Cricetulus griseus: one gene and its partners. The protein of the gene in region 5 interacts with the protein of the main gene of each other region in a biochemical or structural test. Links are inferred from orthologs where the notes say so. Each region holds a gene or a part of one and is shown on either strand. Other genes may lie near its edges. The genes, in order: Snx9, Sh3gl2, Grb2, Itsn1 and Dnm2.

What was found.
Region 1: the proteins of Dnm2 (region 5) and Snx9 form a complex in vitro, tested with the Homo sapiens proteins (2 studies listed by BioGRID and IntAct, with this or other methods). The link is inferred for Cricetulus griseus from reciprocal best matches to the Homo sapiens genes DNM2 and SNX9.
Region 2: the proteins of Dnm2 (region 5) and Sh3gl2 interact in a biophysical measurement, tested with the Homo sapiens proteins (2 studies listed by BioGRID and IntAct, with this or other methods). The link is inferred for Cricetulus griseus from reciprocal best matches to the Homo sapiens genes DNM2 and SH3GL2.
Region 3: the proteins of Dnm2 (region 5) and Grb2 form a complex in vitro, tested with the Homo sapiens proteins (3 studies listed by BioGRID and IntAct, with this or other methods). The link is inferred for Cricetulus griseus from reciprocal best matches to the Homo sapiens genes DNM2 and GRB2.
Region 4: the proteins of Dnm2 (region 5) and Itsn1 form a complex in vitro, tested with the Homo sapiens proteins (2 studies listed by BioGRID and IntAct, with this or other methods). The link is inferred for Cricetulus griseus from reciprocal best matches to the Homo sapiens genes DNM2 and ITSN1.

What each region holds. Positions count from the first base shown.
Region 1 is NC_048595.1:287,022,396-287,025,913, reverse strand, and holds part of Snx9 (sorting nexin-9), read right to left. Parts: intron 2,617-3,518; coding exon 2,466-2,616; intron 346-2,465; coding exon 261-345; intron 1-260. UniProt on the Homo sapiens protein: Involved in endocytosis and intracellular vesicle trafficking, both during interphase and at the end of mitosis. Required for efficient progress through mitosis and cytokinesis. Required for normal formation of the cleavage furrow at the end of mitosis.
Region 2 is NC_048595.1:62,452,299-62,455,816, forward strand, and holds part of Sh3gl2 (endophilin-A1), read right to left. Parts: intron 2,092-3,518; coding exon 1,933-2,091; intron 1-1,932. UniProt on the Homo sapiens protein: Implicated in synaptic vesicle endocytosis. May recruit other proteins to membranes with high curvature. Required for BDNF-dependent dendrite outgrowth.
Region 3 is NC_048600.1:128,242,625-128,245,316, reverse strand, and holds part of Grb2 (growth factor receptor-bound protein 2), read left to right. Parts: intron 1-2,381; coding exon 2,382-2,550; intron 2,551-2,692. UniProt on the Homo sapiens protein: Non-enzymatic adapter protein that plays a pivotal role in precisely regulated signaling cascades from cell surface receptors to cellular responses, including signaling transduction and gene expression.
Region 4 is NC_048597.1:5,929,269-5,932,786, reverse strand, and holds part of Itsn1 (intersectin-1), read left to right. Parts: coding exon 1-119; intron 120-2,258; coding exon 2,259-2,418; intron 2,419-3,518. UniProt on the Homo sapiens protein: Adapter protein that provides a link between the endocytic membrane traffic and the actin assembly machinery. Acts as a guanine nucleotide exchange factor (GEF) for CDC42, and thereby stimulates actin nucleation mediated by WASL and the ARP2/3 complex.
Region 5 is NC_048597.1:134,285,792-134,290,035, reverse strand, and holds the start of Dnm2 (dynamin-2), read right to left. Parts: upstream 2,819-4,244; 5' UTR 2,652-2,818; coding exon 2,491-2,651; intron 1-2,490. UniProt on the Homo sapiens protein: Catalyzes the hydrolysis of GTP and utilizes this energy to mediate vesicle scission at plasma membrane during endocytosis and filament remodeling at many actin structures during organization of the actin cytoskeleton.

The DNA of each region.
Region 1 (3,518 bases), on a different chromosome or scaffold from region 5:
ATTTTAGAAGAGAAAAAGTTTTAAAGTGCACAAGCGATGGTTGAACATTAATAGTTGAAAGATAAACATGGAGAAAACTGAGAAGCAGTGACAATCATTAACTTATACTGACTAGTTTTAGCACTCCTAATGACGTTATCAACATGGGACAGTGTAAGCATGCTTAACAACACTTCCAAAAAGACTAGCCTTCTTAGCTCAGGCGTTATAAAACACTTTAATTAGAAATAAAGCAAACTCATGAGAACAAACAAACTTACAATGATGGGGATTTTCTCTTTGGGTTTTGCTAGCTGCTTGGCCAACAAGTATTGTTCCATGCCAGGCTTTGCAAATCCAGGAAACCTGATAATGAACATAAGTACTGTGAGTCTCAGTCCTTCCTCATACAAATTCTACAGTTCTCACCACGTGGCCTCAACACACCAGTTCTAACCTTGTTCTGTCGTTAAGATGAAAACCATAAAGTATAATCAGGTGGCCCAGAGGCCAGTTAGCCACTCAGGGAAGCTTGAGCAGGGGAAGGAAGCATTGGCTCCAGCAGGTGTAGTGTTCACTGGTATTCTGCCTGCTTAACAAGCTGTTACCAATAACAGAGGGACGGGCAGACATAAAGAAGTCTCTCTGTACCCCAGGATGCAGTATGTCAATTTGAGTTGGCTATTTAGAGCAATGGCCACTTGCTAACACGTCCACATCTATTCAGAGTCAATAATTATTAGGCAAACAGCAATATAATATATTAATTTTTTATCATTATCAAGATGTGTTCTCACAATGCTCCAGTATGTTTAGATTTTCAGCTTCCTTTTCTGGCACAAGGTTTATATTCTAGAGCTAGACTATAGCTAACATATCAATGAATTGTTGAAAAGCTGCGGGTACTTAAAAATATATAAGGCTATATGTAGGTCGTTCCGTGTACCACAGAGAGAAGTCTTGGAGGCACAGGTTCAAATTTGCCCGACCTAGTTTGATTTCAGCCTGGAATGCCATTTTAGAGTACAAAGAATCTTTAAAGCCAACCTCTTTGCTTCAGAGACGAGATGACTGGATTGAAACAGGTTATCAGACTCGGTACAAACCTGGGAGCAAGGGCTGAGCAGAGGTAGGGAAGGAGTTAGACTCCTGCGCTGGCCAGGAAACTACAGCTGCTTGTTTGTTTTGTTGTCTCTGCTTTTCAGAGGACCAAGAGATAAACTACATGTAAAAGGGCTTTAAACTTATTTTACATTTAGGCTGAAATAACCACTGGGAACAATGCCCACCACAGCCAATCCTAGTGAGGACGCTGTCTGTAGTCTGGGAGATAAGCAAGCAGTGATGGCCATGACTAATTTTATTACACACCCAGCTGAGCACAAAAACTATGATGGAAGGAACAGGAGACACACGAAAGTGTGTGGTCTAAAAGCTCAATTAATCCCTTGCTATTTAGATAGACTATGGAGGCCCCATTACTCAAGGTACAAGACCTTGACCCTAATCTCTAGATATATGCTAAACAAAGGCTTTCAAAAAATAAAACCAATTCAGACACAGATTAACAACCTCTGAATCCACTTTGAATTGTAGTACCGAGACAGGAATAGCAGTTTGGGATACACTGTATGACTATTGGGAGAAGAGAGTTCACTGACATCATTCCTCATACCAGAATCCCTCGGGGCTGTGTCCACCTTCACAAGCAGTGGGTGGATCTACCCAGAATCCCTCAGGGCTGTGTCCACATTCACAAGCAGTGGATCTACAAGTTCCACGAATGCAGTTTTCCTTATGCTGAAAGAACTCTAGGTGAAACACATCCTGCAGGTCTGGGATCACAAGCTCTGTGTCCTGAGGGCCTGGAATCCTAAGTCTCCCACCTACCAGCTGTGTGAATGTGAAGAGGCTTCAGTTTTCCCTGTAGTAAAACAGGAATCTACACCACAAAGGGACCTAAGGGTGCCCACGAACCACTCTGCACAATGCCCGGCACATGGGAAGTGATTGATAAAACAGTAAAACATTAAGAGACTTGTTATTAACATTATTTTTAGCTTCCTTATGTAAAAATATTTCCTAGTGATACTTATTTTTATTGATGTAAAAGTGATGAAAAGCATTTTGAAGGTAGCCGGCTTCACACTTGCTGCCTATAGTTGAGGACTGTCATGGACCTCAGACTCTCATGCTTCCACTGCCTGTGTGTTGGGATTACAGCTGTGGGCCATGCATGGTAACTGAATAAACACTTCACTCATTAACCCTGTGATGGGACAAAAGCAGCTTCTAATCTATGATTCAAAGGGCATATAAGACTCCAAATTCAGGAGATCACTAATTAGAAAAAGGTAAAACTTCTCTTACATTTCAGTGTGTGTGTGTGGGGGGGGGTAGTGTGTGTGTGTGTGTGTGTGTGTGTGTGTGTGTGTGTGTGTGTGTGTGTGTGTGTGTGTGCATCCTCTGCTCCCCTATAAACTTACTTGTTAAGGGGCAGCTTCATGGAAGAGGCACCTGGACGACTGTTTCCTCGCTGGATACCCCCTGCTTCAGTGGACTCTGAATCCTTAAAGTAAGATGAAGAGGACTTGGGATCATCCCAGTCTTCGTCCCATTCATCATCATCACCAGTTGCTAGCAAGAAAGAAAATATAATGAGATTGCTTAAATTTGAGTAACAACTTCTTGAGCTAGCCACTTTTCAAGGAGCCGAAAAGCAGAGTCCAGGGCTGACTGTTGTGTGGATATGAAGAACAGAGGCTTTTCAGTCAGTCTCAAGGCTTGACCTAGGGATTTGGCTTTTTTTTTTTTTTATGCAAAAGACAAATCCTAACTAAGTTAAACAAGGCAATCAGGTTAACAAACTCTTTAGAAGTGCCTCAATGGACAGGTTCTTCAGTCAGAGGTGCTAGGGAAACTGGATGTCCACACCCAAGAATAAAACCTGGGCCCTTATTTTGCATTATCTAAAAATGTCAACAGAAAATCAATTACTTAAATGTAAGACCACAAACCATAAAACCAGAGGATAATGACGAGAAAAATCCCCTGACATGCCCTTAGCTCTGTGTTTAGGTGTCACACTGAAGTCAGGGAACTAAAGCAAAAATACCAAGTAGGACCACATCAATCCAACAGGCTCCTGCACAACACAGGAAGTAATACTCAGCAAATAAACACACAGTTTACAGATGGAAGAGAATGTATTTATGACCCCCCATATGTGATAAAAGGGTCAGTATTCCAACTATACAGGGAACTCATGTAATTCCATAGTGAAATCCTGGAGAGACTGCTCAGCAGTTAGGAGCATTGGCTGTTCCCAGCACACAAATGGTGGCTAACACTTGTCTGTAACTCCAGTTCCAGGAGATCCAATCCAAGATCCCTCTTCTGGCCTTGAGAGCTTTGCACACTCACAGTGTACAGACGTACAAGCAGGCAAAACACACATACATATAAAACAAAAGTAAATAAAATCTCCAAACTGCAACACCTGCCCCACGACAATTCAATAATGAAAATGAAAACACCAG
Region 2 (3,518 bases), on a different chromosome or scaffold from region 5:
TGTGCAGCCTGCCATGAACACACACAATGGTTCTACAGGTTCTAAGTTGACTTAGAATATGAGACGATTCTTATGCCTAGGACCCTGCATGCAGTACATCAGGAGAAGCAATGAGCATCCTTGAGAAGGTCTCATTGCTTTCATTAAACAGTTTTGTGCTTAACTATAAACTTTCTGGATAGGATGTAACTTCTTTCATTGAGGTCCTAGAGAAGAAAGATTCACTGACTAGAGGACTCTGTTTCTTGCCTCCAGAAGCCAACATGAATGAAATCAGAGCTTCATTTTACATTCTAATAACTGCTGGTAATAAAAAAAAAAAAACAGGAAAATTGATTTCTCACTTCAGGTACCATGGGATGAAATAAATCTTTTGACCTCTTAGCTTGATCCAAGTGGGATTTAAAGCTAATTATCTAATTTTTTAAGCAGCCTTACTTTTGGGTGTCTTGTGCTGTGGATTAGCTGAGTACTAGCCTCCAAGTCAAGAAGGGCAATGAATGCTGTCCCTATGGGTTGAAGGGTGTAGGAAGAGGACCCAGGGTACAAGGAGACATACTGATCAAGTTTCTTACAGTATTGCACTTGAGTAGTTAGAAGGACAAAAGTTGTCTGTAGGCAAACCCACACTGTCTCTGGAAGAAGAGGACTACATGTTCCATATGTCTTCCCTATCTCTTAGGAGGTAAGCTGATAAGATAATGTGGTGGAAAATTTTGGATGACAACATGGCTAATTTAAAGGATTCTCAAAAAGCTAGCAAAGCATGCCCCTTTGGCAAGTCTGCTTCCCAGAGGAGATTTGCATTTGAAACCAAGGACAAAGAATGAGCTGTGCATATCTAATATAGTAGACACTGCCCAGTCCGTTGAGGGTTCAAATAAAGAAAATGGCAAAAGAGATTCATTCAATCTCCTCTCTCCTGAGGCCAGAGATTCTGCTTCTCTTGCTTTTGGACATCAGAGCTTTCAGCTCTCCATTCTTGGGGTTTATTTTCCACTTCTGTTAGGTTTTCTAGCCTCTGGATACGGAATGAATTAGCCCATTACCGCCTTCCATTCTTGGGCTTTTAGAATTGGCCTGAGCCATGTTTCCAGCTTCTCTGGTTCCCCAAACTTCAAGAGGTATATGTGGGACACCTGTGCCTCAATAATCTCCTTAATAGGTGATTGAACTTTCCTACTGATCTCAAGCTAAACATACTACACCTACACCACCTGTGTATATATCCTTGTGGTTTTCTCTGAAGATTCCTTGCCAATGCAAGTGATGAGTATGTAAAATCCTGCAAACGTTGCAACTGAATTGATGGATTTGAAAGGTGGATGTGAACCACAACAGGAAAGCTGTTTTTTCAGATCTCGACACGTGTGAAATAAGGATGAAAGGACTGTTCAGATAGCTTTATAGCTGAAAGAACTCAAGAAAATTTAATGTCCAAAGCCAGGAGTGATAATTTAATACTCTGGAGATGCAGAAACAATTCTAAAACGTCCCAACAACTCCCCGAACATAGTCCCTATACTATAATAATCAATTGTATTTTGTATACTTTTTCAATGAAAATATCAACCTTACTTCCATATATTGACCACCTTATAATTTTGAATACAAAATTCCGAATGTACTTTAGTTGTCATTCTTAGCTGCAGATCAATATGCTCTATATTTAAACTGTAGTTTTTAAGATGCTGGTTTTATACCTGGGTTATCCCAAGCATTCTTTATCTCTGCACTATTGGTAATAGTTTAAAATTCATTAAGTTCCATGCCTAGTTTATGACAAATTATTCAAAAGAAGCAGTCATCTATGTGTTCTCATCATTTAGAGTTACCAGACAGTAGCATGTTACCCAATGTATCATCTTTCAACACATCCATGCTGTGCCTTCATGATAAAATTGAAGGAAAACCCAAAGGAGAGCAGCTTACGTCCATCTCCAAGAGATTGAACATGCTCGACTCGGCGATTTCTTTAGATTCATCGAATTTCTCCAGTGCTTGGCGAAGTTCTTCATCTGGAATCTTGCCTTGTCGTTTCTTCTTATAATCAAAGTCCAAGCGCCGGCCTTCCAACTTTTTCAGGTGATGCTGAAAAAGTCAAGGGCAAGAGTATGCTTCCAAAGGGCATATTATGGAAAAGGCCAGCTTGTACCTCATTTCCCTTACATTCCTGGTTGCCTCCAAAATGAGACTGGTTGTGTTTGAAATGGCTTGTCACCAGAGAAATGGACACATGCATCTGCAAAGGGCTAACTGTGCAGTGACATCTTTACAAATAATTCAGAATGAGAAACCCTGGAGAGATTGGATTTGGCATTTGAAGCCAACATCAAGTTAAACTTGCCTCTTCCATCAAATGACAAGAAGGAAATGTGAGTGTGCATCCTTCCCACACTCCTCCTTAAGCAAAGGATACACACAGAGCCCATGAGTCATCTTCTCAAGAGAAATGGAATCTCAAAGAAAGCAGAGGAAAGCCCCTTTCTCTGAGTTCAAGGTCGAAGAAATGAACTTCTTCTTTCTTTACTAATCTAGTTTACCAGAAGCACCTAATGTGTCTGTTAAGAATGCAGATTCCTGACTACCTGAGTCAGAAAAACCAGGGCTGAGCCTAGTAATCTCAACAGGTGCCCCATTTGACAGAGGAGGCCTTTAGGGGGCAGATGACTTAGGTTAAAACTTCTCCATGGACAGGTGACACAAGTCAGTCACCAAGCAAACTACAAGGGACCTTGGAAGAGATTTCATCAAATGCCCCTCAAGTCACTTTTGATCCCTCGCAGCATTATCTGCAACAAGGTTTCCAACCCCTTTAGGGACTTGGTTAGGGAGGTTTGCTTTTGTTTTGTTTTCCCTTAAAGACCAATAGCACTTCCCCTGTGGCAGCTGTAGTATCCCATGACTAATAGGGAAGAGAAAAGGATGATTTCCCCTTGTTCCTTAGTGTGTATGAATGAGGGCAGAAGAAAATGACAGCACAGTCAGGAGCAGCAAAGGCCTGGGAAGGGAGGGGACAGCCAATGTTCTAGAAACTCCCCCTCTGGCCACATTTCCTACCTTCAACTCATACTCTTAAGTGTGTGTGTGTGTGTGTGTGTGTGTGTGTGTGTTTCCTTTAGGCAGGGGTGTTCTTAGAAAGCATTTGAACTCACAGCCAGTCAGAGGCAAAGCCAGTTGAATTTATTAGCAATAGCACAACTGTTTTCCATGTTTTAGAAAGAGTGGTTATTTCTTCTCATTTCCAACAACAATCATGAAAACATATGAATGTGCTTAAGAGTGACATAGTAGCTACTTATTTTTAGCTAAAGAAAAGTACAACTAATATTTAAGGGCCACATCAGCCTGGCCCATCATTCATATTAACAAACGTATACATTTCCAGATAAAGGACATCCTGATGAAGAAAAAAAAAATAGTGCCAAGACTATTTAACAAGGAAGTTAAACCAAACTTGAGTTGTGACAGTGGATTGAAGTGCCTTTAGTTTCTGGTTCCTTTTGTCTTGTGGGGCT
Region 3 (2,692 bases), on a different chromosome or scaffold from region 5:
GTCTTGCTCCATTGCCCACGCTGGGAACTGGGTGTAGCAGGTGTGGGTTTCAGGGTTCTGTTAACTAGCATCATGGCGAATGAATGAATGAATGAATGAATGAATGAATGAATGAATGAATTGCCTGACTGGCCTTGAACTTTCCATCTTCCTGCCTTCACTTTTGTGTAGTAGGAATATCAGGCCTCCAATCTAGGCACCAGAACAAAGTTATGCTTTTTGTCTAAATGGCCTCAAACTCAGGGATTCACCTGCCTCTGCCTCCCGAGTGCTGGAATTAAAGGCGTGGACTGCCACAGCTGGCTTGCAGTATTTTTTTTTTTTTTTTCAAACTCAGTGTAAGAATAGTTTCCTCTTGCAACCAGGACTTTTGAAGGTCTTTTTGTTTGTTTGGTTTGGTTTTTCCAGACAGGGTTTCTCTGTGTAACAGCCCTGGCTGTCCTGGAAGTCATGTGATCTGTGAGCCAGGCAGGCTGGCCTTGAACTCAAAGAGATCCACCCGCCTCTGCCTCCTGAGCGCTGGGACTGAAGGCGAGCGCCACCTGGCTTGAAGCTCCTGGCCAGACACATGTGCGGATGGCTCTGACAGCATGTGGAGCTGGGCTTGTAGAATTACCATTTTATGCTTCAGCAGCTTGTGTGTCATCTGCTTTTTTGGCCTCTGCTGCCCCTAGTAGCAGTAAAACAGCTTAGGAAGGAGAAAGAAGTAACCAACCAGTGGGTAGCAACAGACCCTGCTCTGTGCGTTTCCTGAAGATGCCCTTAAGGCCAAGCTGTTCCCTTCCATCAAAGGAAGTCTTGTAAGGGATGGAGACCTAGCCCAGTGTGTGTGAGGTCTACGAGAGCTAGTTCCAGGACAAGCCTCCAAAGCCACAAACTCTCCCCCCCCCCAATAAATAAATAAATAAATAAAACTTTAAAAATTAAACTTTAAAAAAAGTTAATGTGCTATCACTTTAGGAATAAAATAAGGGGGAGGATAGAGTACCTACCTCACAAACATGAGGGCCCGAGTTAGGACCCATCGTGTAAAAGCTGGGGTAAAAGAGAGACAGGTATCCCTGGAGCCAGGAGGCCAGCTAGCCTGGCCTAATCAGTGAGCTGCTGGTTCTGAGAGAATATGGCAGAGACTTCCATCATTGACTTCGGTTTCCACACACATGCTGGCACACGTGCACACGGAGAGGTGGGCAGAGAGAGAGAGTATGAAATACTGCCTTTAACACAGGCATCTTCACAGAACCAAGGGCTTCACACGGCCTCAATCTCGGAGATGGTGCACTGGTTTCGAGATGTCAGAGTCTGGTTAAAAGGCCGTGGTAGAAGTGACCCTGGCAGTCAGTGACCTGCACTCTCCGGAAGCCAGGTGCAAACCCAGAAGGGCCCTCGACAAGGCCTTCGGATGTGCAGTCCTCTGCTTTCGCCAGCGCATTGGCTTCCAAGTGAAAATGTGATAATGAAGTTGTCTGACTGCTTTGGTCTTGCTTTCCTCCATTTCAGTTACCAAGATCAAGTGGAAACTGCAGAAATAACTCCTGGATTTTAAATAACTTAAATGATTTCATATTGCTGCAATGTGTGTCCATAGGGGAAACAGTGTATCTGGTTTCAGATTTGCCCTGAGTGTTAGTTAGGAAGCGCTAGTGTCCTGCCCCCCCTAGCTTGAAGCTCGGTGCTGCCTCCTGCTGGATTGTCTTCAGAATGCCTTCACCTTTTTTAAGCCCTAAACTGGAGAGACTCCTGGAAAAGATTTGAAGGCTTGGCAGTGATCAGGAAGCAAGGTCCTGGCTGAGTGACTGTCATGCCCAGGTGTCACTAGGGCAGACCCTGTGATCCGGCCAGCATCAGTAATCACACTTGTTAGCCTTGTTGTCAACTGATAAGAGTGTTTGTTTCTTCATATTTGGTTCTCGTTACCCTGAAAAAGAAACAGTATGGCAGTAACTCAATGGAAAGCATGGCTTTGGTGGCACACATGTCATCCCAGCCCTGGGGAGGCTGAGTCAGGAGATCACCATGAGTTTTAGACCTGCTTAGCCAGTTAGTGAGCTCAAAGCCAACCTGAGCGAGGGTTTGGATGTCACATGGCTTTTTTACCTGTAAAGCAGATAAGCTTGGACCTTCATTACTGGGCTGTGTGAGTAGATCATCAGGTGTCTGCAGAGTGAGACTAGTGGGTGGACTGCCCTCGTGAAGACTGTTCCTGGGGCCAGCAGTCAGGAGAGGTCTAGGGGAGGCTCCCGGAACAGTCCCCACTCTGTCCAGCTGAAGACTCGGTTGCTGTGCAGCTATCATGTCCACAAGTTCTGCAAAGCCACCCCAGGGACCCTCAGGACAGCCCTGCAGCTGGCTGCTTCATGCCATTCTCCTCCCATCCTCAGGTTTGGAAATGATGTCCAGCACTTCAAGGTGCTCCGAGACGGGGCCGGGAAGTACTTCCTGTGGGTGGTGAAATTTAACTCTTTGAATGAACTGGTGGACTACCACAGATCCACGTCAGTGTCCAGGAACCAGCAGATATTCCTGCGGGACATAGAGCAGGTGCCACAGGTAAGCCAGGGCCTCCGCAGCACCACTCTGTGCACCAGGCTGCCTTCATCCACACTGAGGATCTGCAGTTGTCAGTCAGGTAGTTTTGCCACCAGGGAGAAGTGCTTCCAGACCCGGGTGGGCTGTCTGCTCGAACCCCTGT
Region 4 (3,518 bases), about 130 Mb from region 5:
ACCGATCTGACATCTGCCCCTATCCCCAAACTGGCTCTGCGTGAGACCCCTGCTCCCTTGCCAGTGACCTCTTCTGAGCCCTCTACAACCCCCAACAACTGGGCAGACTTCAGTTCCACGTACGTGTTAATATGCTGACTTTGACAGGTTTGACATCCAAACTTAGTCATCCTTTCCTTTTTCTTCTTTTTTTTTAAATAATTATTTACTTTCATTTTATATGCATTAGTGTTCTGCCTGCAAGTACATTTGTGTGAGAGTGTCAGTCAGATCTTGGAGGTACAGTGTTGACTTGCATATGGGTGCTCGGATTTGAACCCATGTCCTCTGGAAGAGCAGTCAGTGCCCTTAACTGCTGAGCCATCTCTCCAGCCCCTCTTCCTTCTTCTGATTTGTAGTCTTGAGTTGTTCACCTTTGAAAGGGAGATAGCATGTGTTCATGACCCCTTCCTCTGTCTGGTCTACTGACAAGTTGGGGTCCTTGGCCTCCAAACTAGATTTAATAATACCATTTCCAAACAGCGGTTTGCCAGCGTACAAAAGAAAGCCATCTGTATTTATCTGTATGTTTCATTTTGGAAGAAGAAATGGAGAAATGCAACTTCCTAATAATCTGTGTTGACAGTTATGTTGGTCAGCAGAATTTTCATTTACTTCCTGCAGGCTGGGAAATGACACGATTTCATTAGCAAGGAACAAAAATTGCAAGCAGTCAGGTGGTTTGGAATAAGACAGAAAGCAGTTTCTGTGGATGATTTCTGCTGTTGCTAACCTTGAGTAAATGGGCAGTGTAGAGAAGGGGACATGCCCCTGTCATCAGGAAATGGCATTCGGCAAGCAGCATGTGAGCAGAGGTTTCAAATGATAGATGAAGCTGCTGCCTGGACCCCCTTTTGTAGGTCCGTGGCCTACATGTGCACTTGTCCAAAAATATTCCCAGCTAATATACAGTAAGAGTAGGAGTAGGAAGGGCTTTACATCTCTTTTCAAATTAAATAACCCCTTAGAAGAAACGACATTCTTAGAAGAAAGGCAAGGCATCGAGGCTATTTTTAGAGAAGGACCAGATGAAACAAACAGGGGAAGAGAAGCAGAGTGGTGACTGAGGCCAGGAAGAACCACGGCTTTCCTCGCATGCATTGGAGGATAAAGGTTGAAGATGCTGAAGAATGCCCTCGGAGCCTCTGCTTAAGAAGCAGCTTTCTACCGGCCTGTGCTTTAAGCCAGACTAGCTCTACCTTTTTTGGTCTTGCTTGAAAAGCTCTTGACTTCCCAAAACAAAGCTCCAGTTAAGATATAGAATTGGTACCGTGGTTGTTTGCTAAGGTAGAGTCTCATATAGCCAAAACTAACCTCAGACCCATCTTGAGCGTCTACCAAGGCCTCCACCTCCCAAGTGCCTTACCACGCCTACCGTGTATGGTGCTGGGGATGAGTCCTAGGGCTTTGTGCATGCGAGGCGGCTCTAGTCCCAGCCCTAATGTCATGGTGGTGGTGGTGGTGGTGGTGGTGGTGGTGGTGGTGGTTTTGTTTCTTCTGTGAACCAGATCACTGTCTCTTTCTTAAGAGCTCTGTGGCGTACAAGTCTTCTGATGTACATAAAAGCATCTTTCCAAACCAACATCAAGATGAACAGTCTGGGGAGTGGGTATTTTGATTTTTAAATCTGCGTATAGTCTGATAAAGATATAAACAGCACATCACATTCAGCTCTGCACGCAAACACATAACCTTACCTAAAGGTATAAAACCACAAAATTGGGACTGTCCTGAGATGGGGCACCTCGCCTGCTAGGTGAGCCACTTGTGGTTACTGTGGCCTCCAGGCACCTGGCCAGGTGTTTGCTGTGGGGCACACGGAACTTGGCCGCCAAGCTGCAGTGTCTCCGGGTGCAACACTCAATTCCTTCTTACTTAGCTGCTGCTGTCATAGTCATTCTAGCACTTGTGGGTGTTTGCTGCCTACCGATCGAGGCGACCCTCACAACTAACCCAGACTGTCAGGGTGTTGTTCTAGAGAAGAACTCAAGATGAAAGAAAGAACAGTCTTCTAATCGGCCTGGGGAATGCTGCAGTGTGTGTAGCAGAGTCAAACCTGAGCCTGGCATTCTTTCTCATCCTCTTCTCAACTAGAGAAGCCCACATAAATGTCATCGATTTCTGTTCCCCCGGGGTGCCCTCCTTGTTTGTGTGGGTGTCCTGTAATGTCAGGACACTAGAAAGTGCTTACTGCTTATGACATGTGTTTTTCCTTCCAGGTGGCCCGCCAGCACAAGCGAGAAACCAGAAACGGATAACTGGGACGCATGGGCTGCTCAGCCTTCTCTCACGGTACCCAGCGCTGGCCAGTTAAGGCAGAGGTCTGCCTTTACACCAGCCACAGCCACTGGCTCCTCCCCGTCTCCCGTCCTGGGCCAGGTAGGGGCAGTTGTGGAGGGCGTGAAGACTGAGTGGTCTGCAGCTAGTGTTATTACACCAGCAGCTTCAGCAATGCAGGCTCTTGCCATGAAGCTGGGCTGGCTGGCTGGACCTAGTTCAGAAACCTGAGACTCAGTGTAAACCTCAGAGTTCAGAGGGCGTAAACTGTCCCGCCTGTGTCTAAGAAGCTTCATTGAAAAAGCAGCATCAGAGCTGCAATGATGATCGGTTAAAAAGGTACCGAACCTGCCATGAGGAGTCAGGGTGTTCATAAAGAAAACTCTGGGTCAGCCTATTTGACTACCCCTTGGTCCCTACTGAAAAAGGCAGACCAATTTCAGGTTAATGGGAGGCCCTGCTAAGGAACAGTATTTCTGAAAGTGTAGGGGTTGTTGTCATGAACCTTTCTCTTTATGTTAATGTAGTAATGATGAAGGAATGAGATTAATGAATCACACAGCAAATGCCCATCTGGGAGGCCCCAGGGGATCACAGGGGTTTTCTGTTCTGGAGATGCTTAAGTTGGAGGAGACACCGGGCAGATCCATGGGGAAATGGTTGGTATGCAAGAAGACTGGAGTTGCTGAGCGGCCGTGCTCAGCAGGGCACTTACGTGAAAGCCTAGAGCCTGCAGAGTCTCTGTGCCCAAGCCACGGAAACGGGAAGACACGGCAGGGTTGGGCAGAGGGAAAGGAGTGAGCCAGGTGAGGAAGGGAGAGAGAGTCTAGTAAGGAGGAGTTGAGTACACGGTGGTGGAATTGGGGCTGTCTGGCACACTGGCGGGACATGGCTGAGAGCAAGCGGCTGGCTGTAGCAAGCACCATGAAATCCAAGGGAGTGGACATGGCTGAGAGCAAGCGGCTGGGGCGAGGGAGGACGCTGCACGGTGTTCCTTTGTTTCTACCTACACTCAGCACCGAAGCGTATCCCATCGGTGCTCAGCCACCCAGGAGGTGCTGTGGGTGAGGCGTGAGTAAAACTGTGTAGGCAAGGGTGAGCTCTAGAACTCGGGAGGACAGAGGTGGTCGTGCTATCAGAGAGCACTCAGGACGGAGAAGAGGCCATCATGGATAGCGAGAGTCAACCTCTTGGTGACTGAG
Region 5 (4,244 bases):
TTAGCAGGTTCCTTCAGCCCAGGGGCCTTAAGACATTCTAGAGCAAAAAGAACTTAATGCCAGGCATGGCAGTACATGCCTGTGACCCTAGCACTTGGAAAGTGGAAGCAGGAAAAGATTATTACACTTCTGGGGGCCAACCTGTGTCACATGGTGAGTTCCAGGTCAGCCTGGACTATATAGTATGAGACTGTCTCAAAATTTTGTTTTGAAAAATAGAGGAATGGTGGTGCATACCTTTAATCCCAGCACCCAGGAGGCAGAAGCAGGTGGATCCCTGTGGGTTCAAGGCCAGCCTGGTCTAGAGAGTGAGACTATATCTAAAAAAATTAATTAAAAATAGGTGTATGTACATATACATAAAAAATTCAGTACCTAAAAGCCACAGTCTTACAAAGGTCTCTTTGAGTATGAAGCAATCAAAGAGAACATAAATGGCAATAATATTTATTATCGGTTTAATGCTAAGGACTAACCCCTAGGGCCTTATTCATGCAAGGCAACTGCTCTATGCCTGAGCTACAACCACAAGCCACTCCTGGCTTTTTTTTGAGACAAGATCTAACAATGCAACCCAAGGTGACCATAAACTCAAACCTTGTCCTGCCTCAGACTCCTGAGTACCTAAGATCACAGGTACATCTAATTTAGCCTAAATCGACACTTCCAACATCCAAGTACATCCTTGAACCAACCTATATGGGTTTTTTGTTTGTTTGTTTGTTTGTTTGCGACAGGGTCTCACTGTATAGCCTTGTCTACCCTAGAACTCTATGTAGAGTAACATAGCCTCAAATTCAGAGATGTTCCTCCTTCCACAAAAGACTGTCAACAACAACAACATGCACTAGGGAGAAGGAGGGAAGGAAGTAGGGAGTGTGTGTGTGTGTGTGTGTGTGTGTGTGTGTGAGAGAGAGAGAGAGAGAGAGAGAGAGAGAGAGAGAGAGAGAGAGTGTGTCTGTGTAACCCAATGCTAGGGTGAGGCAGAGAGAGGTGGATACACTGGAGCTCACTGGCCAGCCAGTCTAGCTGCTCCGTGAGCTTCAGACTCAGACCACGTCTCAAAAATTTCAGATGGAGCCTGGCAGTGGCTACACACACCTTTAATCCCAGCACTCGGGAGGCAGAGGCAGGTGGATCTCTGAGTTCAAGGTCAGCCTGAGCCACAGAGCAAGTGCCAGGATAGGCTCCAAAGCTACACATTCAGATGAAAAGACAATGAATGATATGGCTCAATGGGCAAAGGGGCTTGCTTGCTATGTAGGTCTGATGCCCTGAGTTTGATCCCCAGGACCCACATAAATGAGGGACTGCACAAAGATGATGTTCTCTGACCTCCACAAGTGCACTGTGGCACACACTTGGACACACGGACACACACAGGCACAATAATGTCCACAGCAAAGCAAAGATTATCACTGGGCACACACCACAGCATCATACATGGAACACTTCCTGGAATGGAGAAGTGGTGCTGTGTGAAAAGCAGCGGGGGAGGGGATAGGAGTAAATCAACATCCCTCCTTCACTCACTTCCTGGATCATAGAAACAGCTGCAAGTGGAATTTGCCCACTGGACAGATGGAACAAGCTGAGGCTCCCAGAGCTGTCTGGAGAGCTCTCCAACCGGGAAGATTTAGCTTAGGAGCCAGCTAGTAGTTTCTCTAGGATCCTGGGCCAGGAAAGAATCCTAAAGAATGTTTCTTCTCAAGCGCCCCGCCCCCCCCCCCCCCACTCAGAGAGGATGGGACAGGCAGAGTTGACTGGGCGGTAATGAACAGCAGGGCATACTAACGGAACGGATTCACTTGGAAGACAGAAGCCAATGGCCCAAGAGAACCAGACAACAGAGGCCCCTAAAAGTTCAGGCGTTCAGGTGGCAGAGACCAACTCGGGTAAGCAAAGGGCACAGATGGGCATTTGCACACCAGAGGTCACCATAAACAGCTAGTCAGACAACAGTGGACTTCGGGGTGGGTCTGGACAGATGGGACAACCAAATGGTGCCGGTAGGAAGCCTGTCTAGAACGAATAAACAGCTAACCAGACGGCAGAGAAGGCTCCACATAGATAACCAGCCTGACAGACCCAGGGATCATCCCCCATGGGGGGGCTGGATGATAAGTGTAGCTTCAGTAGCACGCACACTAAGATTTACAGGTAGCAGGAGAAAAGAGTGGATCTATCCTGGATCACAGGCAATGCGATGTCACAGTTCACCAGCGATAGCTGGGACTCAGTGCACCAAGAAGGATCTGCATTGGCCATCTTGCCCCAGACAGGTCCGGAAGTGGGTCTGCATCTCCGGTCCCTGAGGAAAGTCACGGACGCTCTTGCCACAGACCTTACCCACTGCCACGGGTGCTACGACGTCCGCGAGCCGCAGTTCCGCCATTCCCCGCCCGCCCTCCGCGCCTAGGCCGGCCGCCGCCCGCCCGCCGCCCGGCCTCCCGCGGGAGCCTGGGAACTGCCGCCGGCGCGCTCGCTCACCGGCCCACGAAGTTCTCGAGCACCGAACTCTTGCCGGCGCTCTGGCCGCCCACCACGGCGATCTGCGGCAGGTCCAGGTGGCAGCTCTGGCCGATGGAGCTGAAGGCGTCCTGCAGCTTGTTAACCAGCGGGATGAGCTCTTCCATCCCGCGGTTGCCCATGGTGCCAGCCTCCGCCCCGCGGCTCCCCTGGCTACGACACGCGGCTCCGAGGCGTCTGTGGCCGTTGCTTCCTCCCGCTTCGCTCCACCAGCCCGCCCGGGCTCCACTTCGCCGCGACGCCCGCTCACGGCTCGGCCTCACAGTCGCCGCCTCATCCGGTTCTCAGGCGACACCCGACCCGAGCGACCTCCCCGCCCGGCCTCCGGGGCGGAGCCAGGAGCCCTAATGCTATGCCAATTGGTCAAGAATGCTGCCACTCAAGAATGGGAGCCAGTAGAAAAGGCACGAGGAAGGACTAGTCTTTCACCTTCATTGGGTAGTAGAACTGTCACTAATATGAGAAAGCCAATAGAAGTGGAAACCGGGGTGTCACGCCCGGAAGGCGGGGTCTCGGGTAAAGACAGCGAAGCCTCTGCTCACTAGGTTGATCTGGGTTGTCTTATTGGTCTCTGGAAACGTCAGCCTGCCAATGGTGTAAGGAATCGATCCTTAAACACAGGGTTGTCACTTGACACTAGTTAGTTCCGTAAAATTTTCTCATTGGTTGATGTAAATATCACTTCGTCCCTCTGACCAATGAAAGAAGAGAGCCACAACCCTTTTTTTTTCTGCTCTTTCTGAACCATAGGTTGGCCGCAAACTCGAGGTGATCCTCCTGTCTCAGTATCCCTCCTGCTAGAATTACAGGCTACTAGCGTCTATGTCCTGATTCTGACTGACAGCAGTGTCTGTCAGTCAGTTCTTCCCAGCTTTTCCTGGCTTTTGTTGTCAGTTTGTGATATTCTTTCTAAGCAGAGGGCCACAGTACTTGGAAAGCGCCACACCTCGAGAAAAGGTTCAGTGATCATCACGCCTGCGTTTTTAGGCACTGGGAGAAAACTTGTATCTTAGGAAGCACCACAGATGCCAGCTCTGGAAGAGTGCAGTGCCAGTGGAAGATGAGTTTCATAGCAGGTTGTGAGTGTGGTGTCTGAATCCACTCGTTCTTCCGCGCATGTTCCTGAATGTTCCTGGGGATGAGTCCATAGCCTCATGAAGCTAAGCAAGTCTTTTACCGGTGACTATAAGCCTAGGTTTATTTTTACTTAAGAAAATTTTTTTCTATTGCTCCTAGAGAGATGGCTTTGTGCTTGCTGCCTTTGCAGAGGGCCCGAGTTTGGTTCCCAGCACCTGCATGACAGCTCACAACCATCAGTAGTTCCAGTTCCAGGAATCTGACATCCTCCTCTGGCCTCCACAGGATCTGACACAAATATGATACACATGCTTACATGCAGGCAAAACACCCTTGTACATAAAAAATTGTTACATAAATCAATCTTAAAATTTTACATAAAATATTGAAACGTTTTAAAATATTTATTTTATTTTTATGTGCACCACATAATGTGCCTGGTGCCCGCAGAAATCAGAAGTGTCAGATCCCCTAGGACTGGAATTCTGCATGGCTGTGAACCACAGTGTAGGTGCTGGGAACAAAACCCAGATCCTCTGCAGGAGCAAAAAGTGTTCTTTTTTGTGGTGTTGTTTTGTTTTGTTTTTCGAGACAGGGTTTCTCTGTGGCTTTGGAGGCTGTCCTGGAGACCAGGATAG